Caenorhabditis elegans: one gene and its partners. The protein of the gene in region 3 interacts with the protein of the main gene of each other region in a pairwise test. Each region holds a gene or a part of one and is shown on either strand. Other genes may lie near its edges. The genes, in order: D1037.1, tsct-1 and dyla-1.

Region 1 (10,383 bases), on a different chromosome or scaffold from region 3:
AATTGAGCCCATAAATCGACCTACAGTAGTCATTCAAAGAATTACTGTAGTTTTCGCTTCGAGATATTTTGCGCGTCAAATACGTTGTGCAATACGCATTCTCAGAATTTTTTAAAGTAATAATAAAGTGTTTTTAGTGTTCAGGAGTTACAAGAATCTAAAATTCAAGCAAATAACATACGACTGAGAGAATCCAGTATAACTCCGAGTTTTGATGAGTGGTCTAATTGCATTCTTAGCGAGCATTCGAACAGAATTCATTTTTAAAAATGAAATATATTTTGAAGAAAAGAAGAAGAAAAACGAATGTTAAAAAGTGACGTGAATTCGGTCATGATTATTGAAAAGGAATGAGTAGAAATCGGAATCTTTCTGTTATGTGTACAATCTAGGTCGTATCCCGTGATTTCTGTTTGTCCCTGACCCTTTTTTATCATCATCGGTGAATCGATAGCAATGAAGTAGGAAAGTTGATCATCATTCTGCCATCATATCACGTGAGTCGTCACCAAATGGAGCCGGGGGTTTTTGTGTGTGTGCGTGCACAGTTGAGATGCTGATAAGATAGGCTACGTGAGTCGCTTATCAGGCGGTACGTGCTCTCTGTCGTCGCCGTTTGACGAATGTCTTTTACTCTTTTTGTCTTCGTTTTTCCATTGATCAACTAATCAAGCAGACATTTATGATAACTCAAACCTTGACAGATTTTTTCTTTAATTACATCAGATATCTTAATTCTGAGAATGCGTATTGCGCAACATATTTGACGCGCAAAATATCTCGTAGCGAAAACTACAGTAATTCTTTAAATGACTACTGTAGGTCGATTTACGGGCTCTATTTTCGAAACAAATTTTTGTTCGAATTGTGACAACGATATTCAATTTTCTTTAGTTTTTTTAAACGAAAAATTGGAGGAAAATCGAATATTGTTGTCACAATTTAAAAAAAAATCGTATCGAAAGACCAGCCCGTAAATCGACACTTCAGAAGGCATTTAAATAATTACTGTAGTTTTCGCTACGAGATATTTTGCGCGCCAGATATGCTGTGCAATACGCATTCTCAGAACTTAGCGTCTCCGTAATACTTGCAACGTTTTTCGTGTTTAACTATTCAAAATTGTGGTACTTTCTACTATTCAATGTCGCTGGTATATGAATCTGACTCTGCAAAATAGAAGCTCAGTAAAAAACTTCTAGAAAAAATTAATTTTAATTTGCATGACCGACAAAACCCCAATATTCGATCAAAATTCAGAAAATTCAAAAAACTTGGGAAAACATGCAATTTGGTTCATACATTCGCGAAAAAAATAAATCTGAAATCCTGAAAAGAAATCTCATCAGAATGCTGGGTGTAGGGGGGTGAATTGAATATGCGAGAGAGAGCGGACACAGAGAAATAGACGGGACGAAAATGGTAAAAACAAAGCAAGTGTTGGTTATTATGGTCAGAAGAGAAGAGAGAAGAAAAAAGGTTATTTTTAGAATTATAACCGTACTGCATACAAAAATGTGCGAAGGAGGAGTTTTTGGAACAGAAAATTCAAACGGAAAGAAAATATGAAAAGAGATATGGTACACTATTGAAGTTGAATTGAATTGAATCACAATCAACTTCGAAAAGGGCAGAACATGGCGAGAGAGCAATAAATTTAAAGCAAATTGCAGCTCCAGTTGCTGAAGAAGCTCTTCTTCTGTGTCCCCGATCCACCGACGTTCACACGACCCGTATTCGAAACTGATCCACCGGCACGCATCTCGTTCTGCTCCATCTTGCTCTTGATATCACGAGCCAGTGTGAAGAAAGCTTCATCAATATTCAGATTGGCCTTCGCCGACGTTTCCAGGAATTTCGTGCCGTACTCGATTGCGAGCTGCTCTCCACGGTCCCGCGACACTTCACGGCGTTCTTCAATATCACATTTGTTGCCGATGATCATCCTCTCGACATCCGAAGCCGCATGCTCTTCTATATTGCGAATCCAGTTTTTGATGTTTTCAAATGATCGCTCGTTGGTGATATCGTACACCAGAATGATTCCCTGAAAGATAAATTAATTAAAATTTGAAATTTTGTGAAATAAATTTTGATAAAACATGCCATAGCACCGCGGTAATAAGCCGTTGTGATAGTTCTGAATCTCTCCTGCCCGGCTGTGTCCCTGAAAAAAAATATTTATAAAATCGGATTTAATAAAAACTAGCTCACCAAATTTGAAGTTTGATTTTCTTCCCATCGAGCTCAATCGTACGGATTTTGAAGTCGATTCCAATTGTTGAAATGAACGAGTTATTGAACGAATCATCTGAGAACCGGAACAGTACGCACGTCTTGCCGACTCCACTGTCTCCAATAAGCAAGAGCTGTAAAACGATGTTTTCTTGACATCTTGGCATGCAAAAGTTCTCACCTTAAACAAGTAGTCGTAAGTTTTTGCCATTTTATTGGAGTGAGTGAGAGAAAAGCTCTGAAAATAGGAAAACTATAGAAAAGTAACGCGAAATCGAAGAAAAACAATTAAAATAAAGTGAGATTAAAGGTGCATTGAGTTTTTGACACTGATGGGTCCCGGAGCGAAAAGTACAAAAGCCTTTCATTTTTTTAAATTGTTTAAAAACTGTAATTTTATTTGTTTTGTTTTACTGTTTTTTAAATTTTCTTTTCAATTTTAATCGAAAGTTAAAAGTAAATGAGACTTTTAAATTGAATTTTCCAAGTTTCATGACCGCAAAAAATGAAAAAAAAAAAGAAATGAACAGATGTCACGCTGTGTGTGTGTGCTCAGTTGGTTTGAGGATAGCTGGTCAATATTGAAGGGTCATGTGAAGACGTATGTAATTAGTAATTCCCACACAATGTCCGCAAAGAAAGCGACAAATGAGTGTTGAGGAATAAAATTTGGAGGAAATTTCGCAATAAAAAGATTTGTTTTCACTGAGGGAATGAATCGATTAGACAGCTCACAAAGACATCGTGGTCACGGGCCTTTTTCAAAAATAAACTATTGGGAGGGGGCGAGGTGGTGGTATCGGTGCAGCAGGAAAACAAAACGCGCAGCGGCCACGGCCATGACGATGTAAAAACGTAAAAACGGAGCGTCGTTTGTATCCTCTTGTTTTGCAATTTGAAAAACTTTTTTTTAAACAAAAAATCACCTTTTTTCAGGTCAAAAAGTTCCAAGAATGGTCGATGGCGAGGGAATTACCCCGAAAACTTGCAGTGAAGACATCATTAAAGATCTTTTAAATGATGTGAAATCGTCGGAAAAAGTAAATTAATTTAAATTGTACTGGAAAATTTACAAATCGAATTATATAATTATAATTAATTATCATTATTTTCAGCCATTCTCAGTGGATAAACTAGCCGGATGCGATCAGACAGATTTTGTTGGGAAAAGGCCGAAGAAGCATCACAGGCACAAGTCGAAGAAAAGCAAGAAAGTTCGAAGAAGATCCAAAACTTGGTCTAGTTCAAGAAGTCGAAGCCGGAGCCGGAGCAGAAGCCGGGGGCGTAGTCAGGAGAGGAGAAGAAGCAGAAAGAGTAGGAAAAGCAGAAGCAGGAGCCGTTTAAAGCATAGGGAAGAAAAAATTGAGAAGAAAAATCTCGAAAAAGCGCCAAAAAATGAGTAAGTTCGAAAATAAATTCGAAATAAGTATTTAAACTAATAAAAATTACTACAGATTAATCCCGCAAGCGCCAAGTACCGAAAATGGCAAACCGAAAGAATTTAAGGAGCCGCCAAGGAAAGATGAGGCCGATGATCTACCGCTTGGCGCGGATTTCAGCACCCCTTTAGTGAAAAAAGAGACAAAGCTGGCTATTAGCATCACTACAGTTCTGCCAAAAGCCGAGAATAAGAAAGAAGTTGAGGATGGAGAAATAGAAGAAATTGCATATGGAGATGGAGATTTTAAAGAACCAGAAGGAATCGAAAAGAATTTGGAGAATAAAAATATATGTGAAAATGGAAATCTGGATAATTCTGAAAATGAAAAAAGTAAGGAGAAAGACAAGAACCGAAAAAAGGAGAAAACTGAAAGAAAACGGAAGCGCAGTCATTCAAGCAGTGATAGGAGAGGAAGAAGAACAAGGTGAGTCACTCCACCAAAAAAATAAAAACACCAAAACAGAATATATATAATTTTTCTTGAAATTCATCTCTTTCAGCAAGGAATCCCGTCGTCGTTCTCGTTCGAGAGACACACACCGTACTCGCCGACGATCTCCGGAAAGATCAAGAAGATCCACAGAGACTCGCAACGAGAGACCCGAGAGACCTTCCAGATGGAGAAGTCGTTCCAGAGAACGGAAAGAATATGATTCATACCGACGACGAAGATCCCGAAGTCGAGAAGTCATTGATAAGGAGAAGCTATTGGCGATTGCCAAGACGAAAAGAGCAGAAATGATGTCGAATGGCGACAGAGATAGTGCATCGATTGAGGATTTTGTTAGTGAGTATGACTCGTGTTACGGGAAAATAAAAATTCTGACAATGCGTATTTCACAACATATTTGACGCGCAAAATATCTCGAAGCGAAAGCTACAGTAATTCTTTAAATGACTACTGTAGTGCTTGTGTCGATTTACGGATGTGATTTAATGATCGATAAAATATTAAGAAAAACAGTTTTAAAAAATAACAGAATAATACGAAGAAACGGAGGAAAATGGAATATCATTGTCAATATTCGAAAATAAACTTTTATACATTTCGAATGTCGTTGCCGTAAATCGACACAATCGCTACAGTAGTCAGTTAAAGAATTACTGTAGTTTTCGCTGATATTTTGCGCGTCAAATATGTTGCGCGATACGCATTTTCATAATTTTTTATTCTCGGAATAATTGAGCGAGAAACACTAAAAACATCAATTTCCAGCGTACTGCAAGAAGCTTCAAAGACGACAAGAACGAGAGAAACGTCGAGAAGCTGGACACGATGTCAGTGATCATGACAGTGATAGAGAAACAGTTCGATACAAGCATCCATATGCTATGCCAAAGGAACCTATTCGCATTAATATTGTTGTATGTTCCTGGACAAAATGATCAACACCCCTGGTCCAAATTTAGGAGACTTTTCAGAGAACGGTTCAAAATTTCTACAAAAATATCCTATTTTTAAATACCAAATTATTTTGTCGAAATTTTGAAATTTCTGAAAAGTTTCCATATGAAATTCGGCTTTTTGGAGCCATTTTGAGTATAATAGAAGCAAAAAAAAATTTAGACAAAAAAAATTGAAATTTTCAAAAACTCAAAAAAAATGCTTGAATTTATTTTTTACAAACTGTGAAACAGTGAACAATTTATGGTCTAAAAAAACCAAAAAATCAATTTTTCGTCAAAATACCAACAAAAAAAAGTCCCCCCGGAATAGCATGTGAATTAAGATGTTTATCTTCAAAAAAGTCTCAAATTCAGAAAAAGCATAGAAAAAAAAACGAAAAAAAACAAGAAACAATGAAAAATTCAACTTTTAAAACGAGATTTTTCAATTTTAGTTGAATTCCCTATTTTTTCTTTTAAAAAATTGAAAAAGCACAGTTTTAAAGGTGGATTTTTCATTTTTTTTTTTTCGTGAATTTTGAGAACGAAATCACCTCTAAACGAAAATTTTCCAAAAAAAAAAAAAATTAAATATTTTCAGACTGCCACATCCGCCAATCTAGCTCAAAAAGCGATCACAGGCCCAGAAGAGCCAACTCAACTCGGAGCTGCCCAACTTCGTATTGTTTTCCCTGTCTCCTCTGGTGCTGTGCACAAAGAAAATGCCGAATGGGTGCCCGTCGAAAAGGAGGATGTTCCGAAAAGTTGCTCCGTTGAGCAGAAGAAGCATGTGGCTCTCACAAGTCTTGAAATTGATCGGTGTAGAGCACAGGGAATTGTAAGAAAATCGAAATATTTAGGAAAAAAAAGTTCGGAAAATTATACATTTTTACAGAATTTTGTTGATTTTGGTGATAAAAAATTAAAAAAATTTTTTTTTCAAATTTTGGAAAACGAAAATTTGCAATTTTCCCCTGAAAAAAGTCAATTTTTCAGCCTGTCGCCCCAGCACCCGTGCCGAAATTCCTCAACTCGATCTTGCCACCACCGCCGGCGCCTCCCCAGTTTCTACCGAATCCCACTGATTGTAAATTCAAGATTTTAGTTTTTTTTTTACAATTGAAAAATCTAAATTTTCAGCATTCCGTCCTCCAACGCCACCTCCGCTACCTTCTGTTCTTTATGTTCCGAATAAGGATCAAATGATTTTGAAAGAACCAAAAGATATCCCGATACCAGCTCCCAGTGATATTGGAAAAGTACTGAAACAACGAACAGAAGCACAACGAAAAGTTTTGTCGACTCCCAATGATTTTGATGCTCATCGAGCACTACGTGAAGCCAACGAACAGGTAAAGCTGGAAAAATAGTCGGAGAATATTATCCAGCCGTGAAATGTTGCGATTTCTGAGTCCCAGTCTCGTTACGACAATTTTTGTTTGTTGAGAAATGGTGTGCGCCTTTAAAGAGTACTGTAACTTCAAAATTGTGTAGCTACAGATATCGAAAAAATTGATTTTCGATAGTTTTCCTCACGATTTTTTATCGAAAAACAATGAAAAATCTATAAAAATTTCGAAAAACTAGAAAAGGCCGAAATTACAGTACTTTGCATTGAATAAAAAAATGTCGTGTCGAGACCAGTTACCGTATTCTTATAGTTAGATCAAAAATAACACACATTTTCGCGTCTGGAAAAATAAATTTAAACAGTTTTTAAACAAAAAACCTTTAAAATAAAAAAAAATTAAGTTTTTCAAAAATTCCAAATTTTAAGATCAGTCTCTGGGCAGCGCTAAAAAGTCTTCCTGGAGAGTACACCGGTACAACTGGCCTAAGGCTTCTGACTGCAGACGAGCTACAGCCTCAAAATCCAAAATATCACGCATGGGTGAAAAAGGTATGTGTGGTCTCGGAAAATTGTATTAAATTATCTCAAAAATCGGCACATTCTGCCGATTTTCATTTTGTGAAAAATGTGGCAATTTTTGTTTTTGAAATTGCCGCTTTTTTCACAATTTTGAAGAATTTCGGTTACGAAAATTCTGAGAGCTAAATAGAAAATTGAATCCAGAATTCTCGTAACTAATATTGCCCAGACGCGAAATTTCACGATTTTTGGGCCAAAAATACGGTACCTGGTCTCGCTACGACAAATTTTTGTTGATTTCAAATGGGTATGTGCCTTTAAGGAGTACTGTAATTTTAAACTGCGGAATTTTCATCGAATTTTTATTGTTTTCTTTACGATTTTTTAATCGAAAAACTATGCAAAATCTAGAAAATTCCACGGCAACGAAATTTTGAAACTACAGTACTCTTTAAAGGCACACACATTTGTACATCTAACAAAAATTTGTCGTGGATTACTGTAATTTCAATTTTGGAAATTTCGTTGGTTTTCGCAGTTTTCATAGAAATGAACGGTAGAAAAACTGCTGAAAATCAAAAAAAAAACCCCCAAAAAGTGAAATTACAGTACTCCTTAAAGGCGCATGCCTTTTCGAAATTAACAAAATTTTGTCGTGGCGAGACCTAACGCAAAAATCGTAAAATTTCGCGTATGAGTAATATACCTAAAGCAGAATGTGTCGATTTCTATCTACATCATCATCAATCCCTCCTACACCTTCGGAACCATCAATCGATTCATAACGTCAGCTGCAGTCTCCTAGAGAAGTCGTAAGTCGCATGTAAAACTGATTTCTTTCCTTTTTTTTTTTTTGAAAGGACCAGAAATCAGTTCTGCAGCGACTTTTTCCTTGTATTTTTATTTTTTCGAATAGCAACTCCATTAGTTCCCAAATTAATTTAAAAATTTCATAATCTTTCCTTTTCAGGACCAATTCAGAAATGCTGCACCAGCGACCGGCGGAATCGGAAGATTGATGCTGGAAAAGATGGGATGGCGTCCTGGAGAGGGTCTGGGAAAGGATGCGACTGGAAATTTGGAGCCGCTGATGCTTGATGTGAAGAGTGATCGAAAAGGATTAATCGCTGAGGAGGAGATGAGCATCAAGCAGAGAAATAAGATAAATGCACAGAATAATGTTCCAGTTGATTTATCGAGTTGGTTTTTTTCAAAACTCAAAATCTTTTCAAATTTTTTTTATATTTTCAGACAAAAATCCAATCTCCCTAATAATGGAACTTTGCGCTAAACGTCGCTGGAATCCCCCGTCATTCAGTTGTGAAGAATCCGGTGCTGATCACTTGAAGATGTTCGTCTGGACTATAGTCATCAATGATGTAGAATACCGTCCAATGTGTGGCTCAAAGCAAAAGAAGGAAGGAAAAGCCGTCGCTGCTCAGGTGGCTCTTCAGTCGCTAGGCGTACTTCCAATGGATCCGAATCTCCCAGTTTACATGTAGAATATAATCTCAATTCATCAGTTCATCATCATTGTTGTGTTTTCTCGTCTTTTCAATTGTCTAATAACAATCAATTAATTCTAAAAATTAAAGTATCCCCAGTCATTCAAATTTATTGTCAAATCAAAGAATCTCAAATTCCCGCCGTAGTTGTTGTTGTAGTCGTACGTGTCGTCGTCGTCTCAGAAGCTTCAGAAATCGATTTCTCCAATGTTTCCGAATCCTGCGATGTTTCAAGATTTTCAAAACCCTAAAATTCATTTTTAAAAAATCATTGAACATAGTAAAAATAGTTATTTTTAATACCTCTCTCTTCGGTTTGGTTGCCAGGTAATTGACAAGCTTCACAAACTGAGGCCTATGTGAAGCCACGTATTGTTCAGTCTCCCACATCACTTGCATCACCTTTTCCAAATCAATTTCATCCAGAGAAATGCCTTGCGACAAGTGAGGCGAGAATCTTAAATTATATTATCCATTTTGTGATTTTTAGACCAGAAGAACGGTGCCGGGTCTCGACACGACAAATTTTTCAGATGTAAAACGGTGTGCACCTTTTAAGATTACTGTAATTTATTTTGGAAATTTCATTGATTTCCTTCCTTCCAACATTATTTTATTTAAAACTTTAAAAAATCAATGAAATTTCCAAAATGAAATTACAGTACTCTTTAAAGGCGCACACCTTTTTTTTTTCATTAAACAAAAATTTTCGTTTCGAGACCTGGCACTGCATTTTTTGTTCAGAAATCGCAAAATTTGGTAATACCTAAAATAAGGTGCGTTGATCGAATGACACCATTCTCTTGCATATCTCACTGGCTGACCATTCGAAGCAGTACACTGAAATTAATAATTAGGAAATATACATTATAAATCCAAAATTTGAATTCAAACCTCTTTCACAAGAACATGCAACAAATTCCGAGTGCTTGCAAATGCTTTATAGCAAGATTTGGCAAATTGGATCGGGTTTTTCTGAAAAAAAGTAATACAATTTCCCATTAAAAAAGTATCGGTCTTTAACTCTTCAACTTTGTTATTTTGACATTTTAGATTTTTTTTCCAAAGTTCGTCAACTATTATGTTTTAAATTTAATTTAAAACCAGCTGAAAAAAAAATGTGCGGCGCTCTTGCAAATTTCTCGTAAAAGGACGTGTAAAAGGGCGTACTAACCGCATGCGCCACAATCAAATCGATTCCATCAATCTTTTCCGTTGGAAATACTCCTGTTCCAAGTGAAATGACACATCCAATCTTCCAGTTTCCACGGTTTTCTCGTTCAGATGAGCTTTTCGCAAACGATTTTTCAAGTTTATTCGTGAGGAAGAAATCAGAGATCAGTGCAAGCGTCGGATTGTTCGCAATCAAACCACCATCAGAAAGCCCATTGAATGACTCGAAGAAGTATGGAGCCGCGCTGAAAATTTTTTTTTTATATTTCAAAAAAAACTAGAGTCGTACGTTGTGCATCTCAGAGTCTTCCACAGCTCAACCTTCGTTGGATCCAGGAACTTATAGTGTTCACACGCTTCCTCTGGCATTTCTGGACGATAGGATCGGAAGAGGAGAAGTTGAGGTGGAACCATTCGAGTATCAGCTACAGTAACAATTGCTCGGTGTCTTTTGATACTCGACATTTTCGAATCTTCCCAAGTTGTGACGTGGCGGGCGATGTACTCCATACCGTTTGAACTATATTTTGGAACGGCTTTGTCAGCTCCACGGATGAAAACTCGATCACGCATATCTAGAAGTAGCTTTCGGGTTTCTTCAATGTTTCGATCTGAATTTAAAATAAGGTGATATGTAGGCACGTAGGCAAAAAGGCACAGTAGCCTTATTGCCTTCCAAGTTTTCTGAAACTCGTACTCAAAGGCGCTTTCGGATGGGTCTCGCCGCGATAAAAAGTTAACAAAGTTTAATTATTACGGAGACACTAAATTCT
Region 2 (7,436 bases), 4.4 Mb from region 3:
CACCTACATTATCTGATAATAGGTGAAGAAGGACCACCTTGCACCTCTGTCATCATGATGATTTTTGGAGCATTATCATCATTTCTAGTGGGTGTGGTCTACAGTAAAAGATCCCAAAGATTATTAGTTTGAATCAGTTTTCATACTTTATTCCTTCTCTCTAGCACTATGGCCTACCCTTACCCCGTTTTCAATGCTGAAAATGTCTTTGACAATACCCAGCAACAAGTTGGATTCTATGATTATTCAACTCCATTCAATGGTACATACTCCTTTACTACTGACTATTCTTATTATAATAACTACTATGACTATGTCAATACTTATGCTTCTTATTATCCAACTGCAATGGATTCTTCATCTTTAAATATTTCATCAACTACTGGAAGTCCTAATTCTTCACATTTCACCACGTTTACTCATTTTTCCACTCCATCTACATCTCCATCTACCTCTACTCAAAGTTCAACTACACCGAGCAATTCTGATAATAAGAAGTCATTTCAATGCTCAAATTGTTCAGTAACTGAAACAATTCGTTGGAGGAATATTCGATCAAAGGAAGGAATTCAATGTAATGCTTGTTTCATTTATCAACGGAAATATAATAAGACTCGTCCAGTCACTGCCGTTAACAAATATCAAAAAAGAAAATTAAAGGTACAGGAAACGAATGGTGTAGATTCATTTTAATGTAAATTACATCATTGTAAATTGTATAACTCAATTGTAATTTTATTGTTTTAAACCGGTAAAATGTTTTTAATTAATATGATTTCATAACTAATACATTTATATTTAATTCTTGTTCTCGATTTTAATTACATCATAACTCAAGATTTATAGAGGAATAAATTTAAAATTAACAAACCCTGTATCGTTTTGAACTTTTGTTCTTTGTTTTCCCAACAGCGCTGTTCATTTTTTTCAATCTCGTCAGCCAGAACAGCTTTATATATGCTTAGGATTTAGAGAATCCGACAGCGGAAACCAAACTTTTGCAGAAAAAAATTGTGGACGGGAGAGCGAGACAAAAAGGGCCGAAATGTGTTCTTCAGTCATTGCTTTGAAAGGTTTCACTTTTCTAGTGAGTTTTGTTTTTCGAAGAACTTTTTGAGCTGCACTATAATTCTTGTATTAGATGTTTGTTTTTCAATAATTTAGATTTAAATTTTTCTGTGATGTGTACTGTGACCATGCGATTGTCACCCACTAGAAATGTTGCATTCTGAGTCGGAAAATGATGCTTACTATTTTTAAAATTTCTCTCCAATTTTTCCGTGTTTATTGTCACAATCAACCCAAAAATAGAATATTAAATCAGTTGGTTTGCACTCGTCACTGAATTCTGATTCATTGTTTCGCATAAAGTTATAACACCTTCTCTAGTCACCCTAGTTTCCATTTGGCCTTCTGTCTGCTTTCTATAGGATTGGCTACATGGTACATACATCTGTTATTTGTCATGCTGTGTTCATCACAAAAACTTTACCCCATAAAAAGTGTCATACAAGGAACACGAATCATTGAGTGAAGTGTGACACAGTTTTCAATTATTTAACATTCGCTTTGTTTTAGTAGACTGCTGCTCTTTTTTCTTCAAAGTAAGATAATCTGGAGGACAGACAGGAAGTTGTTAAAGTGATGTATAAATATCGAATATGTTTAGTTGAATGCAGTTTTTTTCGAATAATTTGTTGCACAGCCCGTACTTGTTACACTAGTTACTTTTTCTCGAACTTTTGATGTAGCTTAATCATTTTCCCCTTTATTTTTTATGTAAGAGATAGTACTTGTAAAGTGTAAAACGTTATTCAATATATACCAAGAACAATTACACCCATATTCGAAAAAAAATAGTTGGGATTGTGATTTTTCTCTACCTATTTTCAACATTGCCAAATTAATACTTTGATAAATTCTCTAGATATATATATATATATATATAATATATATAGATACATTTGCATGTAGATCATTTTTCTCTGAGCTCCAAGGTTAAATTCCCAATTTGTGCAGGAAGATTTGCCCAAAATACCTGTCGATTCTGTTTTCAGCAAATTTGGAAAATCTGGAAGCATCCAATTGTTTGTTTGCAGCGCAGCCATTGGAATATTTTTATTTTTTAATTTTTTCCAGTCCACTTTTGTTTTGAAATTACAATTTTTGAAGTAATGTAAAAAGTAGAAAATAGCCTTGGGCAAACAAAACTTTGAAACAAAATTTCATTAACGTTTTTGCCCCCTTCCTCCGCCCATTTCCTCTTCTCATCCCATTCGAATTTTACCCCATTGGGAATTTCAATTCTTGTATCAGTTTTGTTCTTTTTTAGTTTTAAGAAAATTGGCATATATTTTTGAAAAAACGTCATTTTGATCTTGCAGAACAGCTCTGTTTTGTTTTGTGTCGGGTGGTACCCTAACACCATCATTCTTTCATTCAACCCATAAAAGCCAGCCGTCACAGAGGAACACATTTGAAAAAAAGGGTTCCGCGTCTTTTTAGCTTTTAACTACCATCTGCTCTCTTCCAAAAAAGGACATTGAGTGCTCATTTAATTTTTCTGCTCATTTGTTGATTGGGTTTTTCTACACTTTGACATTCTTTAAAATTATAATTAAAAATAAAATCTTTAAAAATAAAATAGAAAACAAGACGAAAAACATCCTCATAACTCCCTAAAACTAGTGTTTATCGGATTAGATACACATAGAGACGTTCGAGAAATTCAATTTTTTTATCTCATCGTTTACGTATTTTATGTATTTGCACATGTGCGATGAGCATTATTTATGTTACAACAAACCCGTTTTTCCTCATATTTCATCTTGCCATTCTCATTTATTTTCTTATTTATGATATTTGAAAATAACAGAAATTATTTTTACTCTTAATCAGATGAAATACTTTGCAAATATCATAAATGTTATAATTAAAACAATTGAAATTTTTGTTGCGAATATTTAAAACATACAAAAAAACGAAAAAATAAACATACTTAATGTTCCTAGTGAATATCAAATTTCTCTGTGCGTCCGCAAATGCATCACGTGGTTTTGTTCACAATTTCAATTAAAAAACTTCTTGAACTTTAAAAATATGTGTTCACACATTAATTAATTTTCACAAGATCTGTAACATGGGGCATAATTTTTGTGAATTTACCAATCAATCATTAATATAAGATAGTTTCACGTAAGTTCAACGCAAGTTTAAAAGTGATAAAAAAAATCAAATTTTGCATTCAACTTTGCAAATTTGTTCTCAGGATGAAACTTCTTGAAAATTTCACAAAAGTGTTTTTTCTTTTTCTTTTTAACGGTTGAAAAGTTTAACAAAAAAATACTCAATATAGCAAAATTCTAAAATTTTATCAACTTTACCCTGTTGTAGAAATTGAGATTAAACTAGCGAATTTTTCATAAACGACACAAAATTTCAAAATGAGGTTGTGATTAAATAATAATATTTTTTCCAGTCGCTCCGCGGACAAGTGGCCTAAATTTAAGATTCCTGCGGAACCTCAATTTTTAAAATTTTTTACTCAAATAAAAAGCAGAACCGTTACTCCTTCTTATGGTTTGCGTTTATATCTTCACAACTTTTTTTGCTCTCTATTGTCAATAACGTTGGTTTTACAAGATACAAATAACTTAAAGTTTCAGGGTAGTTACAGCTAAAAGAGACCGCAGCAAGGGATCCTGTCACTGAGAATGTTCATCTTTGCCGCAGTAAGTGTTCATTTTTAAGATAAACCACATGACCTTGTCTCCTTATGATCTGCCTGATCAAACAACCGGCTCTTCGTTGTCAATGACCTCGTGTTTATGTATGTGTTTTGTTTATCTCCAGCACGTTTTCCAAATCTAAACGTTTTTGATGGTTGGTTGAGAAAGAGAAACTCTACGCAATTTTGTTGTCCTTTCGTTTTGCTTCTTCACCGTCGCCAATGTAAAACGCGTGACTGCCGCGAAACAAACTCTAAAATACAGAAATCGTGAGTCAACTGTAATTTTTTCGACGATTTCCTTTCTGATTCAATTCCACATATCGATTTTTAGAATGACACCGATTTGCATGAATTATCCGTACCCCCGTCAGTCTGAACAGCAACTTTTCTTTTTAACTTTTTGATTTCTGTTGTTTAATCAAGTGCTTTTTGCGTTCATAAAATATAAGAATAAACAATAACTAAAATTAGAATTTCTTATTTTTACGTATTTTTCCTTCAACAGCATATCAATTTAATTTGAAAATAATTTGTCTTGTTCAATGTTAGGAATTTCGCAAACGTTTAGTTGCCATATGTACAAAGATATGTATAAAGAATGTGGAACATTTTCTTTCAAAAATTGAAAATAATTTATTCTAGTAACATTTTTGAACACATAAATTTCAAGTATAATCTTGAAATTTTTTCATGTCGTTAAAAAATCAAATGCAACGTAATTTGAAACACCTACATTGTGAGACTTTTGCAGAAAACAAAGTTAAAGGTCAATGAGACCCTCCGAATACGAGTGCCAAAAGTATTCAATTAAATTTCCAGTTTTTACGCGATGAAAAACACCAATCAACAATGAGCCAAAAGTGTGGTGTGCTGCTCTTTTCCAAGCGTAACATTTAAATTGAACTTCTGTTTGAAAAATGAGGAGAGCATATAGAGCCAAATGATACAAAACCACTCTCATGATATTAGAATTTCCGACTCCTACCCCGACCCGACCGACCCAAAAAATGGGGCGACCCACTCCACAGGCCTAGTCTTACATCCCTACGGACCAATTGAAAATTAGTCTTGCATGCAAGAATAATAGAGAAAGCTTCAAAGCTAATTTGTTCAAAAACAATTTCCTTTTTGGATCTTCTCCGCCTTCAAACTCCAGTTCAGAATGTTATGTGTCCAATTTTCTTTTGCACGTTCGCTCAAGAGTACACATGACAACTACATATTATCTTTTTTATCAGTTCGTCATTTGATTTGATCGCTATTCATGTGCCCTTTTCATATTTACTCTTCGCAACTCTTTTGTGAGCACCATTGTTGCAACCACAACTTGCATAATTACTACAGAATCGAAGTTTCAAAAAAAGATTGCATTCTATCTCGCGCTCCCATGCGCTTTTTTCGTTTTATTTGCGATTGAAAAATAGCTTTCCTGCTTTGCGGGCTATGCAGAGCAGTAGTTTTCAATGGTTTTGTCTGGGCACACAGAGAAGCGTACAGTGTGATTGAAAAAGTGGGGTAGCAGCCAGTATAGAGCAAGAGAAATGTACAGCATTCAATTTTTCATTCGTTTTCTATTTTGCTCTTATAAACTGTGACATTTCTAGTGACTGAAAACGAGAAATCGCAGTGTCTTGTTTAAAACTCCCTCAAAATCTTTCTCTCTGAAATAATAATTCAGAAGAATTATATATTTTTCTTTTTGACAATGACTTCAAATATAATCTCAGAAATCTTACAATTCACTGGAATGTCACAGTCATAATCTCGTATTATTTGTATCTGAAATAGACGTTATTGCGCCATGTCTAGGTGGCTTTGTTAGAGAAAATACGCGTTTTTCTTAGCTCATCTATTTTTTTTTCTTCTTGCAAAAAGCTGACTTCTTGTTGCATATTCATTGAACGTTAGCTTTTTTGGCAAAGGTTTATGTAGGATTATTTGTAAGACTTGAGTTTTAAGCTCTAAGAATTTGAAAAAAGGTATGAAAAGCTACCAAGTTTTTCATTTTTCTAGTTACGAAAATTGGCTTTCTCTTTTTTTCCTTCCAAACTAGTAGAAAAAGCACTGCCATTGAAATTAAAAAAAACAGTTTTCAACAATTTTTCACAAAGCGGAAAACTTGAAAAATAAATGCTTTTTTAAGTTAAGAAAATATGTCGTCACAAAAGTTCTTGCAGATTTTGCACTGTGCTTTCATAAAGTTATTGGGCTTTCTTGAACTGTTGTTAGTTGTCCTTGATGTACTTCAAACTTTCATAAATTCCTTTTCCAATTACAGCGTTCTCAAACTATTAAAAAAATATGATTCAATAACTGTCTGCACCATTTAGAGAGAGAGAGAAACTAAGCGTTCCTTTCTTTCCTGAAAAAAAAACAAAGTCTCATGGGTTTACTCAGATGACAAAGTAACACAAAAAAACAGAAAAAAAACTCCAAAGTTTCCGTGCCAAAAGTTGCGCCGTCGTGTCTATTTACTTGACACACTTGCCATCACACTTGAGCAAGTACAGCTGTTCCTCAGCACCGCGAGCACTTTTTCGAGAAAATTGAAATTACGTGTCAATTCATGTCTCCCACAGCAGTTCATCAATCATTTGCTGCATGTTGCGACCAATTTATCTTTTCGTTTTTTGTTCAAATTTGAAACAGAAATTTCGAATAAGGGTTCTTGAGTGTAATCAGTCAACGATTGTGATTTTTAATGCGATAAAAAATCCAGCATATTTTTTGAAACTTATCTTTGCCATTTTTCTTCAAAACAATTTTTAATTTGCTCACCTAACCAAATTAAAGGCGAAAGATGTTTTTTTTAATATAAAAATGTCGTACGTTTTGTTTCCCAAAATACATTAATTCAAATCTATTTTGGTCAAATCGTTGTAACTTTTGTTCATATCTGTCTTGTCCACGGCGCAAAAATGTTATCAAATTTTGCTAATTAGTCATCAACTTTTTTTAATTTCATAGGTTCTAATGGCATTAGTTAAACGATGTGTACAAAGATGTAATTATACGCTTTTCAAATATATGCAAATTTTTCTTGATTAACTATGTGTCCAAACGACTAAAAACCGTTAATCTTACTGTTAATTGAAAAAAAGTATTTGAATCTGTTATAAGTCATCATAATTTTACCAAAAATCTAAAAGTTTCAATTTATCTTTAGTAGAACAAATGTATATTTTAATTCTTGTTTGTGAAAGTACAGATTTTCTTGTTTTATACACTACTTCTAAAATGCTAAAATGTTTTATTGTCTATTTATTACTTATTTTTTCAACTTTTCAGGCTTTCCAACAGAACACAATAATAATGAGTACTACTTCCAATGAAGCATCTGTGATTGAGGTCGTTCCTCCAAATGCAAACTGTGACAAGCCGAAGAAGAAATTCCAAGTTGTTCCGGTTCCAGGAGAGTTTACACGTGGCAGATGGAAAGTGATTGATACCAGATTTGGGTCGGCAATGGGAGGTTAGTTTAACTACTTGAAAACGAATAATTTATCAATTTAGAAGAAAATCAATAAATTTATTAGATACCAGTTCAAAATTCCGAGCATAGAAGTACGTGTTTTAGTACGTGTTTTTAAAAAAATGTTTGAGGTTGTTGAAGTACCAGTGAAAATCTTTTTTCAAAATTATTGATTAAAAAAAAATAAACTGGACAATAAACACAATTTATTTTTTTCAGAATTTGGAAATTATC
Region 3 (6,699 bases):
GTTCGGTGCACCATGTTGACACTCCAATCCGAGAGATAGCCAGAACCTCGGAGTGACAAAAAAGACGACGGACGGAACGAGAGGAGGGATGAGCGGTGTGAATATAACAGAACAATTAGTACGAATAAAAACCTGTTTATTGATCAGGAAAAACGTAGAGAATGTGCTGCAGGGCAGCCAGGAGTCGAATAATAATTAATTAGAAGGAGTACGGCATCACACGATGGGAGAATCGGAGGAGAGTGACGATAATTGCATCATCAAATTTAGGCCAATAATTAATGTGAGCAATGGCTAAAGAGAGCGCGCTACGACACTCCGTTGTTGTCCGTGGAGCGCGCCTGCATTGCTTGGCGGCAAATTCAAATAATAATTGTTTATTAAATGATTATTAGAGCGAATGTTCTTGGAAGAATACGGAAGATATTGTGAGTATTCGGCGGCGGATGTTAATTGTGGGATCGTGGGTGATTCTGACCAATTAATTAACTATACATCCGCAAAGTTGGGATGCGCCGACTCTCCGGAGCCCAAGTCACAACATTCCACTTTTATGATAATTACATAACGAACTTTTCTGTTTTTTTTTTCAATGTATTGCTGATACTGTTAGCAACTTTTCAATTGATTATTCATTCCTTCAAAATTTCAGATTTTAAACTTTAGAAATTTTGGCAAAATTTACATTTCAACAACTTAATCAGTTTCGGAAGAAGCAACAACATTTTGTTTAAAAAAAGGGACCGAATTTGAATCGAATGATTTTTCCAAACATTTTCTGTAAAATTCGAAAGTTAGAGGAAATGTTTGGTAAGTTTGCCAACTGTTCAAACAGTTCTAGAAACTTTTGAAAATTTGATAAACTTTTGAGAAGTGTTTGAATATTCAGGAAAGATTAAACAATTCTGAAAACGCAATAAATTCCTGATATGTTCAGGACAATATAGAAAAGCTCTATAAACTCATAGAAAGCTTGCGTTGTTTGGAATTCGATAATTGCAAAATTTGGCAAATAGATAAACCTAGAAAAAAAGATACATTTTCATTTTTTTTAATTTATCGTAATTTTTCTCGATTGTCTCAATGCTAACAAAACAGGTCAATAACAAAATAAATCTCGCAAAACAAAAATTTTGGTAATTTAAAATTGCCATAATTGCTAAATACTATGAGTACTACACCCCGTCTAGGTAAAAAGTAGCAAGTAATACTATGATTATCATTTTGAGAACTGTTTGTACTTTACATGGATTTCTCAAATTTCTGTAGTAATTTCGATCGACCAAACTTTTAAACTTAAATAAAAACTCATCTTCGTTCTTTCGTAAAACCCGTGACAGTCAGTAGATCCTTCATTTTAAGGAGGTTCTGTTATTTATTTGCTCTCTAGTTAGTTCTAATAAACAAAAATTTCAAAGTTCCAATGAATGAATAACTGGCAAAGAAGCTAGTTCCGCCTTTCCGCCAGTGATCTGGTTGAAGGCAAATTGCTCAGCTCCGAATTCGAATGCAGTCATGTGTGACCACAAGAATCCAGCAGCGATTTATAGGAAGAGGGCAACAGTCAATTTACGAAGTGGGATTGGAGTCTGAGTGCAGTGTAGAGTCGGGTCAAAAAGACAAGCTAGCTGTTCATTACAATCATAGCAAGAAAGAGTTGTTTAGCGAAACAAAAAGTCCACGGGTGTCAGTGGTTTGACATATGAAGACAGAAAAAAGATGATAATGATTGAGCGCATTTCTCACTCTCGCAACATTTTCAAGGTTCCCAGGCTGCAAACGTTGCATTGGAATGACTTTTGCATGTCGCAGACTGCATTCACTTTCGATTCATTTGCCCCCAATTGCTTTATTCCAGAATTCTTGTTTAGCATTCTAACATGCTCTAATAAACAATTATACTCACGTTTGGAGCAGTCGGCGGCTCGGAGATGGCGACGGTGTATTTGATTCACGCATCGATGGGTCCGGAGTTGGAGTGTCCATACCTAAACTTGTAATGAGTGTATTACAGTTGTTATTATAACCAAGCAAACAAGTTTGAGACTATGGAAAACCAACTGATTACAGTAAGACCAAATCATAACGTACAACCAAAAAGTACAACGTACAAAAAAAAAAAAAAAAAAAAAAAAGATACAACCCAAATTCCAGGAAAAGTATTCAAGGTCACTTTTTGATACAAAATTAAAATTTTTGAATAAATTTATAATAAATTCAGTTCCAGAATATATTGAGTTTGAATTTTTCACTACTTTCATGAGCCGTTAAGTTGCCTCAAAATTTTAAGGTTAAACTTTTTGGAAAATTTAAGGTTAAACTTTTTGTTAAATCATTGGAAATGTTTTTTCGACTCGGAATTTCATCCCAACATGCCATAGAAACAAGAAATCTGAAACTCAACAAAAAATGTTGAACGAGCTGCGCACTTTTTAGACAATAATTTTTGAATTTTTCTCTCAACTTGTTCAGTGTAAGGATATTTGTAAAAAAAAACCTGGAAGACAACTTTTTTCTTGGTAGTATGCTTAGCTAATTAACTCACTGATAAGATCAACTACACCAGTCCAATTTTCAATCCACATGGTTCAACGCGTTTTAGGAATAAATCATGAATGCAACTGATGCGAACATCCTGTTGAAAGACGAAGGAAAGGCAGAGCTCAAACGTCGTTGAATTTCATACGAAAATAGTTCGACTTCACAAAAGCATTTATTTCAAAATTTGGTAAACTCTATAAAATATAAAGCGTTTTAACTTCAAACGTTTTTATTACTCTGACGGAAAATGGCATTGGAAAAACCAAAATTTGAAAGTTCGCTGACTTCAACAATTCTCGGCTCAACTGAGACTCCTTCTAATATTTTTTTACAAGTTAATCTTGCAGTAAGTCTATTTTATCTTTAGTAATGTTGTCCAAAAATGTATAGAAGTCCAAATTTTAATTAATTTCTAATAAAGTTAAAAGTGGAGTACCAAAATCTGAGACTTTGTGTTTTTAGACCCAAAATGGTCCAAAACAAAGTTCTGGAAAAAAAGCCCAAATTTGTTGCTTTTTTCACACATTTTGGTTTTGAATCTAATTGTTCAACTACTGTGCGAAATCAATACACAAAGACTGTTTTTTTTTAATTGTTTTTCTTTTAAATTTTGCTACACTACTTTCTCACAGCTAAAATCATATGCGGTTGAGGTTAATTTCAGATTTATTCACATGCTTATGATTTTCACTTCAAACATGTCACATCAAGAAAAATTAAAAATTGACAAACTGATTTTCAGGAGGAAACAACTTCAAAAATAGAAGGAGAAACCAATGTCACGTTTGAAAGTATCATTGAAAGCGGCGAAGACGATCACATTGAAAGTGAACACCAGCTACAGCTTATTCTTGATTGTATACTTCCGCCGAGGTGGGTAATTTGATAAATTGGCAGCTTAAGCCAGAAAACAAAAACAGAATTATGATCATGAAAGACACATTTTGTAGAGTTTACGAACAAAACGGAAAACTATGGAAACAGCAAGCGTCGCTTCATCCTGCTACGCGACATGACATGGTAATTTGGTGTGAATTTGAAAAATATTTAGATATTTGTGAAACTAGAAGGTAACTTGTTAATAGTTAAAACCAAATGCTTAAACCTCTTTTTTAAATATAAACACGAATGTTAGAAGTACGTTCAAAAAAATTTCAGATAAATCTCGAGGAAAAACTGGAAAGCGAGTTAAAAGACCGGGGAGCAAAACCATTCGGAATATGCCCAATTCGACGCGATCTTTACGGCCAGTTTTTCGGTCAGTGTTCCTTTTTTCAATTCATCCAAGACCCATTTGTCTTCTTTCAAGCGCATAATGATGCCCTTTGACAAAAAGACAGGTGTGTGAATCTTCTTTGCTTCCAGATGAGCTAATCCGTCAAGTCAGTGTCTCCTGTGTGGAAAGAGGTCTTTTATTGGTTCGCGTTCGTGATGAAATTCGAATGACTTTTGCAGCCTACCAGAATGTACTAGAGTCGGCGATTGCATATGGTAAGTTACAATTAATAGTTTTCAATTTCAGAATATTAAAAAAAAAACTTTGTGTGGATTCTGACTACTTCTTAGCGCCTAAAAAAATACAATAACCACACCGAATTGATTCAATTTTCAGGTGTCAGAAAAGCGCTGTTCATTGAAAACGAACAAACACGGGCGACGACTGAATGGAAAGTGCAAAAGGACAAGAACAAGGAGCTTCATCTAAAGGTGAAAAGAAAACTATTACTACAGATGAATAGAAACCCATCGGGGAAAAACGGAGGGGGGGGGGGGAGAAAATGGAAATTAGCGGAGGAAGAAGCAATGTATGTCGGATGTTGCAGATTGCCCAATTGGAGAAAAAATTGGCAACGGATAAAATTGTAAGCGAGGAGGAATTGGAAATTGTGGAGCAACGAATGAAGGACACCAACGAGCGCCTTGTAGAGTCAAATAGAATTCTCAAAGTTAGGCTTGAAAAATAATTATTTCAAAAGTCAAAGTTTTCAGAACCAGCTTCAGTCGATTCTTCAGATGGATGATATGTCACATGTCAAAGTCGGAGAAACAGTCGCACATTAAACATATTCAAATGTATTATATTTTTGTTTCAACACTATACATTCTAATAAAACATACTCAATATTTCTATGTATCACAAAATTGTAATCTTGGAGAAAATCCTTACATTAGAAACATTTTCAAACAATACAAACTTTTTTTTTGCGCAGGGCCTGTTGCCTGTATTCAACCTGCCCGCCTCACGCCTCTTTGACCGCGCCCGACCCTTTCCGGGTTTTGCGCCGCACTAAACAAAAAGCGTGGCTCGCGGCGCGAGACAGGCGCGGCAGGCGTTTTGGCGTCTGCATGGAAGCCCGTTAGCGTTTTTTTTTTAATTTCAGATCATGTTAACAATCAGAGAAGTGAAGTTCAGCATCAAAGTATTTCAGTATTTAATTTTGTTATTTGTAATTTGTTAAATTGAGGAAAACCACAATTATTCAAAATACACCAGAATACTACAGGAAGTGATTTATTTTCAAAAATATATGAATAAAAATTGAGAATAACAATTTCAAAAAGCTTTTTGTTTTATCGTGAGTTAAAATAGTAGTTGATTTTCTCCTGGACTTCATCTGAAAATGGGAAAGATCCACAAAGAAAACTGTTATCTTCGTAGGTCGATTTTCTTGAATACTCTTGTTCATTCCAAAAACTGTTTTTAAATTGGATTTTCATGCTATTGAACCATACTCGGTCAAGAGTTGGTAGGAGATATTGGTAGACCATCTGAAAATATGAGTTTTGATTGTGTAGAGATTTTCAAATGCAGAGCATACCATTTCATGAATTCTGTGATTCATTGGAGCCGTACTGGTAAGACCAAAATGAATAGCTCGTGCGAAGTACTTCCTTGTCTGTAAAATTAGTGTTTTCTTTCAACGAAAAAAAAAGGTTTTCGGTATTTGAAAATATCAAGTTTAAAATATAATATTAAATGAAAAATACTATTATATTTGTGTTTGGCTAAAATGTTTAACTTTTCTGACTAAAATGAGCACAAAGGACTGATTGTCGAGAGCAGATACGATGTGTGCTTTATCATTCCATAGCAACTCAACTGTGGAAATCCTAGAAGTACCCGAAACTTGTACCCAGTTCAAAACACATCGCAACAGAACACATGAAGGTGTCATATGCCTGTTCCCGTGACTTACAAACTCTGATTTGTCATAAATTCTTTGCAACAATGTGAAAGCCAGGCAGTCGAGGTTGTCTCGTGTCAAATTGTAAACACTTGGCCAGATGTTCTGAAAGTTAGGATTAATGTATTGCTTTTTTTTGCTCCGTCTTTTTGATTCTTTTGTGTCTAACAAAAAAACTCACGTCCTGATCACAACCAAAAGGTCGAAATGCAAAGTACACAACTGTCATGAACTTTTCCGTCGAGTTTTGCAGAGTTTCTTGACTTAGCCCATCCGTGCTCAGAACCTGTGTAGTGAAAACCTGTCTTGCATAGTCTGGGACCGAAGCGTCTAGAGTTAGAATCTCGTCTTCGTCGACATGTTCCTTTGCATTTGCAGTGAGTTGGTAAGCTTTCTGTGTAAGGTAGTGAGGAATTCCAACATTTTCAATAAGTCTTTGGAGCCAATATTCATCGATCACTAGAAAATAAAATGTGCAAGTTTTTTTTTAGTTGCAAATGAAACTTGAACCTTTACTTGATCTATTTGAAAAAATTCAACTGAAATATACCTACTTGACACTAACAAAATGGCGCAAGTTTTTTGGGCAAAAACACATGGTCGAACATTTGCAAACGGTTTCTAACTGACGGGTACAATTTTAATAACTTTATGTTATTTCATCAAAAAATTTCAGAGGGCCAAAACTGACTAAATTGAGGAGGTCCCCTATTGAAATTGTGTGACCAAAAAGTACACGTTTCCAAATTTTTTGCTTGTCGGATATAGAATAATTTGTAAATTGTCTAAATGTTTATCTAGAAGTTAAAGACTTACAAGCTTCTTCGCCAGAGCCCTCAAAATCCTGGAATTGACAACTGACAGCTGCAGACAATAGATACAAAAACTTGAAAAGCATTTTGCAGTATGAAGATTGAATGTTCGCAACTTTTGAGCGGGCGAAGAGTAAGAAAGAAAAAAGAAAAAATCGGGA

Evidence for each region.
Region 1: the proteins of dyla-1 (region 3) and D1037.1 interact in a two-hybrid assay, tested with the Caenorhabditis elegans proteins (one large-scale study listed by BioGRID).
Region 2: the proteins of dyla-1 (region 3) and tsct-1 interact in a two-hybrid assay, tested with the Caenorhabditis elegans proteins (one large-scale study listed by BioGRID).

The regions. Positions count from the first base shown.
Region 1 is NC_003279.8:3,681,614-3,691,996, forward strand, and holds D1037.1 (Protein SON), read left to right. Parts: upstream 1-3,167; 5' UTR 3,168-3,188; coding exon 3,189-3,275; intron 3,276-3,350; coding exon 3,351-3,634; intron 3,635-3,689; coding exon 3,690-4,100; intron 4,101-4,176; coding exon 4,177-4,463; intron 4,464-4,892; coding exon 4,893-5,041; intron 5,042-5,663; coding exon 5,664-5,900; intron 5,901-6,058; coding exon 6,059-6,149; intron 6,150-6,202; coding exon 6,203-6,414; intron 6,415-6,839; coding exon 6,840-6,962; intron 6,963-7,902; coding exon 7,903-8,131; intron 8,132-8,183; coding exon 8,184-8,434; 3' UTR 8,435-8,567; coding exon of another isoform or gene 8,568-8,684; 3' UTR 8,685-8,734; downstream 8,735-10,383. Other genes in the region: rab-8 (Ras-related protein Rab-8A), read right to left, coding at 1,658-2,047, 2,107-2,167, 2,215-2,369, 2,417-2,446; ipla-4 (phospholipase A2), read right to left, coding at 8,568-8,684, 8,741-8,894, 9,204-9,277, 9,332-9,412, 9,612-9,855, 9,900-10,221.
Region 2 is NC_003284.9:12,430,441-12,437,876, forward strand, and holds the start of tsct-1 (Protein tsct-1), read left to right. Parts: upstream 1-3,656; 5' UTR 3,657-3,713; coding exon 3,714-3,731; intron 3,732-6,196; exon of another isoform or gene 6,197-6,263; intron 6,264-7,018; coding exon 7,019-7,202; intron 7,203-7,421; coding exon 7,422-7,436. Other genes in the region: med-1 (GATA-type domain-containing protein), read left to right, coding at 169-693.
Region 3 is NC_003284.9:16,838,317-16,845,015, forward strand, and holds dyla-1 (DYnein Light chain, Axonemal p28 type), read left to right. Parts: upstream 1-2,721; 5' UTR 2,722-2,788; coding exon 2,789-2,887; intron 2,888-3,283; coding exon 3,284-3,414; intron 3,415-3,491; coding exon 3,492-3,561; intron 3,562-3,699; coding exon 3,700-3,799; intron 3,800-3,906; coding exon 3,907-4,032; intron 4,033-4,153; coding exon 4,154-4,248; intron 4,249-4,364; coding exon 4,365-4,487; intron 4,488-4,530; coding exon 4,531-4,602; 3' UTR 4,603-4,657; downstream 4,658-6,699. Other genes in the region: F41G4.8 (uncharacterized protein), read right to left, coding at 5,113-5,310, 5,361-5,438, 5,739-5,831, 5,908-6,185, 6,543-6,624.